3 linked regions of the Cricetulus griseus genome follow. The protein of the gene in region 1 interacts with the protein of each later gene in a biochemical or structural test. Links are inferred from orthologs where the notes say so. Each region holds a gene or a part of one and is shown on either strand. Other genes may lie near its edges.

What was found.
Region 2: the proteins of Serpinf2 (region 1) and Plg form a complex in vitro, tested with the Homo sapiens proteins (2 studies listed by BioGRID, with this or other methods). The link is inferred for Cricetulus griseus from reciprocal best matches to the Homo sapiens genes SERPINF2 and PLG.
Region 3: of the proteins of Serpinf2 (region 1) and Elane, one has a biochemical effect on the other in vitro, tested with the Homo sapiens proteins (2 studies listed by BioGRID). The link is inferred for Cricetulus griseus from reciprocal best matches to the Homo sapiens genes SERPINF2 and ELANE.

Annotation. Positions count from the first base shown.
Region 1 is NC_048600.1:88,885,823-88,889,826, forward strand, and holds the start of Serpinf2 (alpha-2-antiplasmin), read right to left. Parts: upstream 2,854-4,004; 5' UTR 1,146-2,853; coding exon 921-1,145; intron 770-920; coding exon 731-769; intron 620-730; coding exon 557-619; intron 306-556; coding exon 104-305; intron 1-103.
Region 2 is NC_048595.1:288,618,352-288,622,439, reverse strand, and holds the start of Plg (plasminogen), read left to right. Parts: upstream 1-1,251; coding exon 1,252-1,300; intron 1,301-4,088. UniProt on the Homo sapiens protein: Plasmin dissolves the fibrin of blood clots and acts as a proteolytic factor in a variety of other processes including embryonic development, tissue remodeling, tumor invasion, and inflammation. In ovulation, weakens the walls of the Graafian follicle.
Region 3 is NC_048598.1:100,684,969-100,688,926, forward strand, and holds Elane (neutrophil elastase), read left to right. Parts: upstream 1-1,466; coding exon 1,467-1,530; intron 1,531-1,795; coding exon 1,796-1,952; intron 1,953-2,059; coding exon 2,060-2,201; intron 2,202-2,802; coding exon 2,803-3,036; intron 3,037-3,155; coding exon 3,156-3,356; 3' UTR 3,357-3,404; downstream 3,405-3,958. UniProt on the Homo sapiens protein: Serine protease that modifies the functions of natural killer cells, monocytes and granulocytes. Inhibits C5a-dependent neutrophil enzyme release and chemotaxis. Promotes cleavage of GSDMB, thereby inhibiting pyroptosis. Promotes blood coagulation.

The sequences.
Region 1 (4,004 bases):
CCAAATATCCATGTGTCCCTGGTGGAAGAACCACCCAAGGACAACATCTGCAGCATTGAACTCCTTGTGGCCTCCTAGTTCTGGGCAGGTGCTGCTCCAGTACCTAGTGCCAGGTGAGAGAGTGCCAGGGCCACACTCAGGGGTGACAGGATAAGGTTGGAGCTGGTAGATGTTTGGGCCACCAAGGAGAACAGGTCAGCAGTGAAAGCCATCATGGCCTGAGCCAGCCTGCGAGTCTCCTCTGCAGTTGGGGTACTCTTGCAGTTTCCTGGGGACCTCTCCAGGATAGTGTGGCCACTGAGATCCTACAAGAAAAGACCAGAGGTCAGTAAGGTCAAGGGGCAGCCTCGGATTCTCTGTGCCTCCCTCACAGTCTGGGTACTAGAGGGCTGCAAGGCCTTGTCCCAGATCTGAGGGGAGAGGAAGAGTCATGCTGGGGTCATTCCTACCCCATCCCTTTTGAACCCCCAACACCAGTCCCATGACCACGTCTCCCCTCCCCCATTCCCTTACTCCTGCTGATTGGCCCTCCTCCCCCTGGCCCACCTGATTGTACCTGTTTACCCAACTTGAGGAGGGCGAGTGGGGGCAGCTTCTGCTGGGCCTGCTCACTCATTGGCTTTAGAAAGGAGGAAATAGGTGGAGAAATGGGGGACCTCTCCATAGGTCCCTGCTTTGCCCAAGACATAGGTGAGACCCTTGGGCTCTTCCGCCCAAGCCCCCCAAGTACCTGCTGGCTCGGGAGATCCATGGCACTCACAGGGGAAAACTGTTGAGAAGAGGGTGAGCAGAGGCAGAAGGTTCCTCAGAGCCAACCCCTCCCTGGGCTCAGCATTCCTCCCTCTCTACCCTCTGGCCTCTCCCAAACTTGCCCCTCCCCCACAGCATCTTCCTCAACCCAGACCTCAGCCCAGCCTCACCATGGAGCAGGGGCTTTGCAGACAGGACAAGCCAAGTACCAGGAGCCCCCAGAGCAGTGCCATGTTCCTGTATCCGGGACAGGGAGGGTTAGTTCCCACTTCCCACTCAAACATCAGGCAGCAGACTGCTACCCATGGGCTCCCTGACCCCATCAAGATACAGAACTTGGACCCACACCCAAGCATATTAGCTGTGGTCCTCATCCTGAGAAGTGGGATTCCCATGATTTCTTTCCACTCTTGTAGTTTCTCATTTAGTCTTCATTCTCTAGGCCTCACATTGTGGATCAGACCTGGGTTTAAATCTGGCCTCTGCTTCTTCCCACAGGACCTTTGGTACTTCCCTTAATTCTTTTGGGTTTTAGCTTGTCTTGTAAAGTCATGGCAGAAGTCCTCCCTCCCATGTAGAGATTGAGGACCAGAATAAGAATCTCTGTAAACCTTGAGTATGATGGCTGGCTCTCAGTGATCTGTATCTGAGAAGGCTTCCCACCCCAGAGAACCCATCTAACCTGTTGTTCACTTCATCCAGTCTTTCTCAGACTGCCCCAGTCCTACCCAAAGGCCCCAAGGGCTCAGCTGGGGTGGCAGGGCAGCCAGAAAGCAGCTTTGTTGACCTAGTAGCGGAGCCCAATGAATGACTGGCCCAGATACCTTTGGACTTACGGGAACCACAAGCCTTATCCCAACTCTGTCCCCCAATTCTGCTCCAGGGTGCTTTGGGGAAGCCAGACTGGTGGAGGGGTCTGTGCAAGTCTTAGTCTAAGGCCTCCAATAAAGATTTTCCTATCCTCAACCCCTACCTGGGCCTTATCTCCTAGCCAGCTCTTCTGGAGGGTCCCTCTGTTACTCCCCAGCCCCCACCATTACGTCCAAGAGCCTTCAGCCAGGCCCTCATCTCCAACATGGATATGATTCTGCCTGAAAAGAACAGGCCTTTAGGTTTTGAGGTTCTAAAGGGACTTCTGGAACTGCCTGCACTTCTGCTCCTCAACACCCCAAGACACTGTGAAGCTGCAGGCTCCCTGAATCAATTCAGCCAGACCCCTTGCCCAGGGGCCCCTCCGCATCTCCTCTGCTGCCGGAGAAGGCTGCACCACCCTTTGATCCTACCTCTTCAGGCTTCTTGCTCCAGCACACGATGTTCTCCGGGACCCACTTGCTCTCCACACTCTGCCTGGTGCAGCCAGCCTGGCCTAGCTCTCTCCTCCCACAGGACCTTTGCTCTTAGCCAACCCCCGTTCAGCCTGCCTTCTCTGCTGGTAAATATTGACCTGCACATCCGGTTAAACATTGATATGGGGGCCAGAAGCCCCTTTCCCATCAGGGCTGCTAATCCTAAGACAGCCACCCAGAGCCTGGTTACAGGAGCAGACAGTTGAGGAGGTTGGGTCTGGCCAGGCAAGAGGGTAGCTCCAGGATGCTCAGGGGCCTGGCAAGCCTTCTAATGACCCTTCAGCATGGGGATTATCCATGGTCAGTTAGGCTCAGAGAGTCACAATCAGATTCCTGTTCCCAAATTCCTGTGTTCCCACCACCGTCACCACAACTGTCCCAGGCAAGGGAAGGCTGCAGGAACCTGCAGCAAGCCCAGGATTCTGGTTGGCTACCTTTAGCATGGGCCAAGGTAAGGGGTGGAGAAATAAGACTCAGCTGGAGGCAGGCCATCCCAGGGTACCACCTCTTCAGCATCAACATTCACTTTCCCCCAAGGATGAGCCATCTGAAAACTTGCCGGAGGCCACCCAGACCAGAAGCCCTGCATCCATGGCAGCCAGAGGACAATGGCTCCCTCTCTACCCTCTGGCTCTGCTCTTCACAGGCCTGGAAACTACTAGGTCTTGGCTTTTCCTAATCTTACCGCCATCAAGATAAAGTGGTGGGCATGATGATACAAGCCTTGTATAACAGCACTTGAAAGACAGAGGTAAGATGATTGGGAATACAGTGTCAACATCAGCTACATATCACATTCAAGGCCAATAGTTTGAGCTCAAAGACCTTGTATCAAAAAAAAAAAAAAAAAAAAACCTGGGCATAGAGACTAGAGAGATGGTTCAGTGGTTAAGAGCACTGGCCGCCCTTGCAGAGGATCCAGGTTCAATTCTCAGCACCCATATGGTGCACATGGTGCTTCACAACCATCCACTAACTCCAGTTCCAGGGAATCTGATGCCCTCTTCTGACCTCTGCAGGGTCCAGATACACAAATGATGCACATGCATACGTGTGGGCAAAACACTCATACACATAAAAAAAAGTATGTCTTTAAAAGTTGGGCCTAAGACAGGCGTTGGTGCCGCATGCCTTTAATCCCAGCACTCGTGAGGCAGAGGCAGGCAGATCTCTGTGAGTTCGAGACCAGCCTGGTCTACAAGAGCTAGTTCCACGGCAGCCTCCAAAGCCACAGAGAAACCCTGTCTCGAAAAAAAAACAAAAGTTGGGCCTGGTGTTATGCCTATAATCTCAGGACTTTGCTTCAGGCAAGAGAGTCATCCCAAGAATGGTCTTGGGATGGTCTCAATCATGGTCTTGGGATGGTCTCAATCTGAGACCAGTTCAGGCTGGTCTCAGATTGAGACCAGCCTGAACTACATGAGACTATCTCAAAAAATCAAGGACAAGCCATAAGCCAGACATGGTGATACCCACCAGTAACCCCACCTCCTTGAAAGGCTGAGGCAGACTGCTTGAGCCCAGCTTAGGTAAAACAAAACACAACACAGCCTCACTCAGCTCCATGGCTCTTCCAAAGAATTTATTGATCATATTTACATGAATTGCAAACAGTGAGGAGGCAGCAGGGGCCACATCTCAGACTGCTTCTCTCCTCTAAATGGGGACTCAAGAGATGCCAGGATCTTCCCTTCTCCTGGGAGGGACCTGAGATGCAGAGATGATTCCTGTTGCCCCTTCTCCCCAGGGGTGCTGGCCCCAAGGGCTGCCTCCCTGGCTCAAGGCACAAACACTGTGGTTAGGGGCACCAAGGCAAGGCATGGATTCATTTCTGGACCAGCTGGGGCCATGTAACCTCTTCTCTGGCCCTGCTTCCCCTTTCCCCCCTTTTTCTGGTCCCACACTGGG
Region 2 (4,088 bases), on another chromosome or scaffold:
ACAAGAGCTGGTTCCAGGACAGCCTCCAAAACCACAGAGAAACCCTGTCTCAACAAACGAACAAATAAACAAACAAACAAAAAGAACAAAGAACAAAAAGATACTCTTGCAACTGAATCCTATTATTTTCTCTAAATGCTGTGAGAGTGTTACCATGGTACTGTGAGTTCAGATGGAGGAAAGGACCACATTGGAAGGATATTATGAAAGTGGAAGTGAGAGATGATTTCAAAACGTACGTGTGTGTGTGTGTGTGTGTGTGTGTGTGTGTGTGTGTGTGTGTGTGTGTTCTCAAAACCCAAAAGAGGACATTAGACCCACCCCCTGGAAGCTGGAGATGCCAGCTGTCTGATGTGGGTGCTGGGAATTGAACTCAGGTCCTCTGGAGCAGCAGTAAGTGCTCCTGATTGCTGAGCCATCTCTCCAGCCCTCAATGCGATCTCAACACTGCCCACCTGGTTAGTGGTACCTCTCCATGGTACAGTTCTTGTCTGGCATGCTGAGTCTCACCCTACAGGCCGATCAAGAAATAAAACACACCAGGAGAGAGGCTATATGGTGCTTAAATTCAAAAGGGATGGGGATATGACAGCTTTGTAAAAATAATATAACTTAATCCACTGATTAGTTCAACAGCAGGGCTGGAATACAGGTGAGGGATCACCGGAAAAACAACAACAAAAAAACAATGGTTACTCACAACATAAAAACTGGAAAACAAGTTCATAAATATTATGTAATACATGCATTGAGACACCACATGCTATCCCAGTCCCTCATCTGGGAATGGAAATGGGAACAGTGTCCAGCTGATTGCTGGGAAGGTCAAATGAGGTTGGGTATGGACCATTTGCCAGAATCTGGCTATGGAAGGCACTCAGCAAACATACGTTATTTTCACGATTTCCTTCTTGAAGGCCAAGACAAGGAAATTGAAGAAGAGGGAAAGAACCGAAAGGAAATGGGAAACATGGTGGCTGGGTGAGGTGACCAGCCAAGGAGGAGAAAGTCAAACAGTGAAGAGCAGCAGAGTGGGGGAGTTGCCATTTTCACCACCTCTACATCTGCTGCGGACTCCACACTCAAACATTTTGTAAGCGTCCTATTCGAGGTAATGTTTGCTCCTTCTGCATACAGTGGCAGGGGCCTCAGAGAATCATTAACCCCATTGGACTATCTTCCTTGTCCATGCCTTTGGTCCCTTTTAAGCCAACTGGGACAGTTTTCCAGGTGCTGTTGGCCAGTCCCAACATGGACCACAAGGAAGTAGTCCTTCTATTTCTCTTGTTTCTGAGATCAGGTAAGATTTGATGCGTGGTTTTGTTTTAACCTTTAAAAAAAAATCTAGCCATATATTAAAAATAGGTTCGATATGTCTTTATGCGCAATTTAGTTGAACTATAGGGTTTATGAGATTTTTTCGGTTAAAAATCTCTGACTGAGGAGTTTGACATATAAATTTAATTTTCCTGTGAGTACTGTTGGAGTGGGGAAGGAACAGGCAGAGCAAGCCACAGGTTGCTTTTCAAATCTAAATGATGGAAGATTTTAGCAGTGATGCATCTGATTAACAACTCTAAAGGTAGTTATAGGGGGATGTAGCTGAGTGGTAGAGCATTGGCCATGTGTGAGGTCCTGGGTTCAATGTCTGGTGGTGGTGGCAGTGGGGTTAGATGGTTAGCACAGTTTTCAGTGTGACTGACAAAAATGGTTTTTGTTGACCTGTCCTGTTCTCCCGGGGATTTTCTGTTTGGTTTAAGGAAGCCTTTGTATAGGTACATAGCTGCCTCTCATGCCTCCATGAGTCACATGGGTCAGTTTAAAAATGACAAATGTATACAGTAATTGAACAAATACCTATTTAGAGGTCAGGGTGTGCTAGACACTTGTGTGCTTTTGAGTGTGTGTGTGTGTGTGTGTGTGTGTGTGTGTGTGTGTGTGTGTGGTGTATATGTGTCTGTGTGCATGTGCAGTGTGTATATGTGTCTCTGTGTGTGCAAGTGTGGTGTGTGTTTCTGTGTGGTGTGTGTGTGTGTGTGTGTGTGTGTGTGTGTGTGTGTGTGTACTGACACTAGCTTACAAACCTGATGGCAGAGGGATAGCATGTTTTCCTCATTATGTAGATGAAGACTTGGGAAAATCATGACTAGGGCTTTCCAAGAAGAAATTCAGTGTTCTCTGTTTTTCAACTTTGTTTAAAGCTCTTAAAAATTCACATTCTAAACATGATTGGTAATTTTCTCTTGAGTAGTTTTACTGACATGACTCCCACACTGTCAGATGCACTGTGAGGCACACAACCTGATGGCTTTCAGTAACATTCAGGGGTGTTCAACTATCACGATAAAAACTAGAATATTTTCATTGCCTCCACCCCAAAGAAACACTGCTCCCCTGTGTGCCAGCCCTAAGCCCCATTCATCTGGCTTTCTGTCTTTATAAATTTGCTGTCTGGGACATTTCATATCAAAGCAATCATATTTCATGCCAGCCTTCTTCATGCTAACAATGTCAAGGGACTTGAGACTTAATCTGTAGACCAATAAGGTTTTATAAATTGCACTTTATGGTTAAATACATTTTAATTTAGTGGACAGTACTTAGAGACAGAAAAAATCCAGAGAGAGAGAGAGAGAGAGAGAGAGAGAGAGAGAGAGAGAGTGTGTGTGAGAGAGAGAGAGAGAGAGAGAGTTTGTCTATTTCTCTGTTTTTCTTCTCCTTCCTTTCCCTGTGTGTGTGTCTGTCTCTTTTCTTCTTCCTTCTTCTCTCTCTGAGTGTGCGTCTGTCTCTGTCTGTCTGTTTCTCTTTCTTCTCCCTCCTTTCCCTGTGTGTGTGTGTGCGTGTGTGTGTGTGTGTGTGTGTGTGTGTGTGTGTGAGAGAGAGAGAGAGAGAGAGAGAGAGAGAGAGAGAGACAGAGAGACAGAGAATATCCCACTCTTGCCTGTAGAATAAGCTCAGGGGTCACACCCAAAGGCTAGAACTAACTTCTTTCAGCAGGTTAACTTATATCTCAGCCAACTGAGGGGGGATTCTTTCATAAGCTCTTTGTGAAAGTATTCACTCTCATTTTCTGTGGAAATGACTTGACTTTCATTTTCTTATTGCATTAAAATAGCTTGGGAAAGAGGGGGTGGTAGTGAGGAGAGAGGAAGAGAGAGAGATAAAAGCTTCCACAGCTGTGAACAAACTACTGGGACTTTTTTTTTTTTTGAGATAAAGTCATATTATATAGACCTGGCCATTCTGGAACTTGCTATGCTATGTAGATGAGGCTAGCCTTCAACTCTCAGAAGCATACCTCTGCCTAAAAAGTACTGGGACACACACACACACACACACACACACACACACACACACACACACACACACGTGATGAAAAAGGTCTCTTCACTTTGATGCTAATACACATCTATATTTAGGCTCTAACACTGAAATAGTTTTCCTACTAAAAGGTTTGTTTTAAGTCCTCATATTAATACATTATATTAAACCTCATTACTACATGAGCCCCAGAGGTAAACAGAAGAGATAAAGACTGGAGAGACATTTTGAATATAAAAGAAAAATTCACTCCTCCTTAGGGACATGTCTTTGGAACATCAGCTCCTTGGGTGGATCTCAGTAACTGTATACCATGAAACACGAAGTAAGACACAAAGCTGATGACCCAGAGAGCTCGCTCCTCTTTATCGTTATCTGAAACCTAGCTTGCACACTCCCCAGAACTCTTTGCACAGGTTAGCCCAAGTCTGTCTATCTAGATACATGGCAAAGAGTTACTATGCCTCCTCCAGACCACACACAGCTCTACAGATATCCAAAGCACAGCTCTTCTCAAAACGAGGAGTTTGAGTTAAAACAAAACACAAGCCTAAAATGTCCATGCCTCCATCAACTTTTATGCTTAGGCTAAGTACTTTGACGATTGAAAACATTGTCAGCTAGCTTTCTGCTCTTTAGTCAGTCTTCCAGTTTGGAGCATTAAGGAGGGATAAAGTCACCAAGGAAGGAAGGGTAGACTTCCAGAGATGAGTCTGCATTCATCAGTTGTCTTCTCAAGTTTTTTCACTTCCAATTCTGGTCACTCT
Region 3 (3,958 bases), on another chromosome or scaffold:
ATACAGATGGTGCTCAATAAGTACAGCTGTGGTGAGGCCTGGTCTTCTAATCTGAGATTGTTTGCCCCGAACCCCTTGCCATATGACAAGGGATGGTGTATACATACAGTAGGTACTTACTGTGTGGAAGGAAGGCAGTCCAGTTCGTATGTATCTGAATGAGCCTTGCAAGCAGTGACCAGCTTGAGGGAGGGAGAGGGCAGCTGTCCCTCTAGGATCCTATGGACAGAGGTCTCCAGCCTGGCTGGTGTTGGGCCTTAGCATCTTGGCCACCTGCCCATGTCCGTTGGGTTCCATCCCCCCATGCCCTGTCCTGGAGTTGGGACGTTGGTTTTGCAACAGCTTTGGCTGCAGCTCCTGGAAGAGATGGGAGGGGAGCTGGCCACAGAGTAGGGGGGCTGGGCCCTGGGTCCTGTCTCCATTGTTGGAGGAGAGCATTCCCCCTGTGTGGTTCCAAATTGGAACCCACACTCTGGCCACTGTCAAGGGCAGCAACTCCTTCTCATGGGTGCCCAGGCATTAATGGGGTCAGGTGGGACTGTGTTCCCCATTGTGAGGAGCAATCATCAAATTAGGGGCTAAGGTGCTACAGTGTGCACCCCAAGTTTAAATGACCTGTTGTGCTGGGCATGGTGGCCCATACCTTTAGTCCCAGTGCTGAGGATGCAGAGGCAGGTGGATCTCTGTGAGTTCCAGCCAGCCTGGTCTACAGAGTGAGACTTTGTCTCAAACATACACACATTCACCTGTCACTGGGTGTGTAGAGCCTCCATGTCCCTCAAGTTTTCTGACTTAATTAAGAATCCAGCTATCCATTCTCTGTCACCCCAAGAAAAAGTCATGCTGACACCGAGCCTTTGACAACGCAATGCATTATGTATTGCTGTTATTACCATGCTTAGGTAAATAAGCTGAGGCTGAGGGATTGGCTGGGCCTCAGGGCACCAAACTGGGCCTGGAGATGCACATCTGTTATCCCAGCACTCAGGAGGTGGAGGCAGGGGAATTAAGAGTTTGAGGCCAGCCTGGACTATTTGAGATCCTATTTTATTTTATTTTTGGTTTTTTAGAGACAGGGATTCTCTGTGTCACCTTGGATGTCGTGGATCTCTGTGGACCAGGCTGGTCTTGAACTCACAGAGATCTGCCTTCCTCTACCTCCTGAGTGCTGGGATTAAAGGTGTGAGCCACCTTTGCCCAGCCCTGAGGTCCTGTTTTTTAAAAAAAAAAAAAAAAAGAGAGAGAAAAAAGATGGCTTGCTCAGTTGTCACTGATATTCAGCAGCGTGTATGAAGTTGAGTGGAGACCCTGGGGGGGGCACGCCTCTCCATGCCACCCACATTGTCCTGTCCTCAGGGAGGAAGTGGGGCTGTGACCGGCATGGGGCAATACAACGGCCTCTGGCTGCAGCTATAAGTATGGCTGTTAGGTAGGGCTGTGGAGAGCCACCAGAGCATAGCCCCACCATGACCCCCAGCCCATCATCCAGCCGGCTTCCTGCTTCCATGCTGCTGGCCTTGCTCCTGGGTGGTGAGTGAGGATGGCCACACTGACCTTTGTCATCTCCATTGTCTTTCCTAATTCTCCCAGGGCTTTAGAAAAAGACATGGAATTTTGCAGTGCCCAGAACACTGTAAGGAAAGAAGGGAGGTGCTTGGATCTTCAGTACAGGAGTACCTTGGGCAGGTTCTTGTTCCTCTCTGCCTCAGTTTCCCTCATCAACATTGTGAGTTCTCATTGGGGGTTCAAACAACTTGGTGGCTGGGGCTCATTCTTCCTCCCCGTGTGTCCCTAGGCCCGGTGCTGGCCTCAGAGATTGTGGGTGGCCGGCCAGCCCAGGCACATGCTTGGCCCTTCATGGTGTCCCTGCAGCGGCGTGGAGGTCACTTCTGTGGTGCCACGCTCATCGCCAGGAACTTCCTCATGTCAGCAGCCCACTGTGTGAATGGCCTGTGAGTCCCCTCTTCGTCCCTCTCAATCCTCAGTGTCCACATGGGCCAGACCAGAGAGGTCAGGTGGGGGCTCCCACTCATACTCCTCCCCTCTCCGCTGTCCACAGAAACATCCGGTCAGTGCAGGCAGTGCTGGGAGCTCACAACCTGCGGCGAAAGGAGCCCACTAGACAGATCTTCTCTGTGCAGCGGATCTTCGAGAATGGCTTTGACCCCACTCGTCTGGTGAACGACATTGTGATCATCCAGGTAGGCTTGGGAGTCCGGGAGCCTGAGACTCAGGTGCAAAGGTCTTGGAGTTCAGGCTTGAGAAAGGTGCAGTGCGGAAGGCTCTGGGAGTGGGGAATGGGGCACAGACACAGTGGGGCAACTTCAGTTATTGCCTCTGAGCCTGTTTCCCACTGAGCACAGTGGGAATAGCTGTCCTGTAGGCCTGATGGTGATGGCTCATAAGATCTAATATATGGAAAGTTCAGGGCAGTGTTCAACAAATTCCTGTTATTTGCGCTTCTCTGCTCACTGACTCTGTGACTCTGGGGTACCTGGGGGAAATATTCTTTTTTTGGTTTTTAGGGATAGGGTTTCTCTGTGTAGCTTTGGAGGCTGTCCTGGAACTCACTCTGGAGACCAGGCTGGCCTCGAACTCACAGAGATCTGAATGCCTCTGCCTCCCGAGTGCTGGGATTAAAGGTGTGCACCAGCAACACGCGGCTGGGGGAAATATTCATTTCTTCCTCCAGTTCCTAACCATCCCCACCACTTGGTGGCAGGGTACTAAGCCATTGTCTAAAGTGCCCTGCGACTTCTTCGTGTTCTAAGTCTCTCCCTTACTCACTGTCCCTCACCTCAGCTCAATGGCTCAGCCACCATTAACACCAACGTGCAGGTGGCCCAGCTGCCTGCCCAGGGCCGTGGCGTGGTTAATGGAACTCAATGCCTGGCCATGGGCTGGGGCAGGCTGGGCACGAACCGACCGGCACCCAATGTGCTCCAAGAGCTCAATGTGACCGTGGTGACAAATTTCTGCCGCAACCGTCTGAATGTATGCACGCTGGTGCCACAACGGAGAGCAGGCATCTGCTTTGTAAGTTCCCTTTTGCAGTAGAAGGGATTGTGGTCAGACCCAAGGGATGACTTCCCAGTGCTGGAGCATGAGTAAGGGGGTGCCGAGAGGGCCAGTCTCTGACCTTGACACCTCCTCAGGGGGATTCTGGAGGACCCTTGGTCTGTAACGGGCTTGTCCAAGGCATCGACTCCTTCATCCGCGGAGGCTGTGGGTCTGGATTTTTCCCAGATGCCTTCGCGCCTGTGGCTGAGTTTGCAGACTGGATCAATTCCATTATCCGAAGCCATGACAACCATCCCCATATCCACCCCAGAGACCCTGAGAGCAGCAATGACTAGGACCTGCCTGTCCTCCCAGTGCCGTCAACCTCAAGGGACAGCTCTCAATAAAAGCAGCATTTGCTTTGTTTGCTGGGTCTGGTGTCTGTTGTCAGTGCCACAGAATGTAGAGCAAAGCCACTATCTAATGTGAGGGGCACCTCCTGGGGACTTGGCTACCAAGCTAGGGCAAAGTCACAGCAGGAGACACGTTCCCCACGTTGTACAAAAAGAGATCAGTGAGATGGCCCTTTTGGGCTTCTGTCCCCTAAAACCCATGTTCAGTTAGGTCTCAGAACTAGGAGGCTGAGGCGGGAAGATTGTCATGAATTTAAGGACAGCCCAGGCAACGAGTGAGGCCCTGTCTCAGAAAACACAGAGGGGCTGGAGAGACAGTTCAGCAGTTAAGAGCATCTGCTGCTCCCAAAGGAGACCTCGGTTCCCGAGTGTGGCTCACAATTACCTATAGCTCCTGTTGCAGGGGGCTTGTCCTCTGGACTCTGGACACCAGGCATGCAATACACACCCCCATACACAGAACTAAGAATAATAAAAGTAAATCTACCAAATAAATAAGCTAGGACTGGTAAGGTGGTGCGGTGGGTGAAGGTGCTGGCCACGAA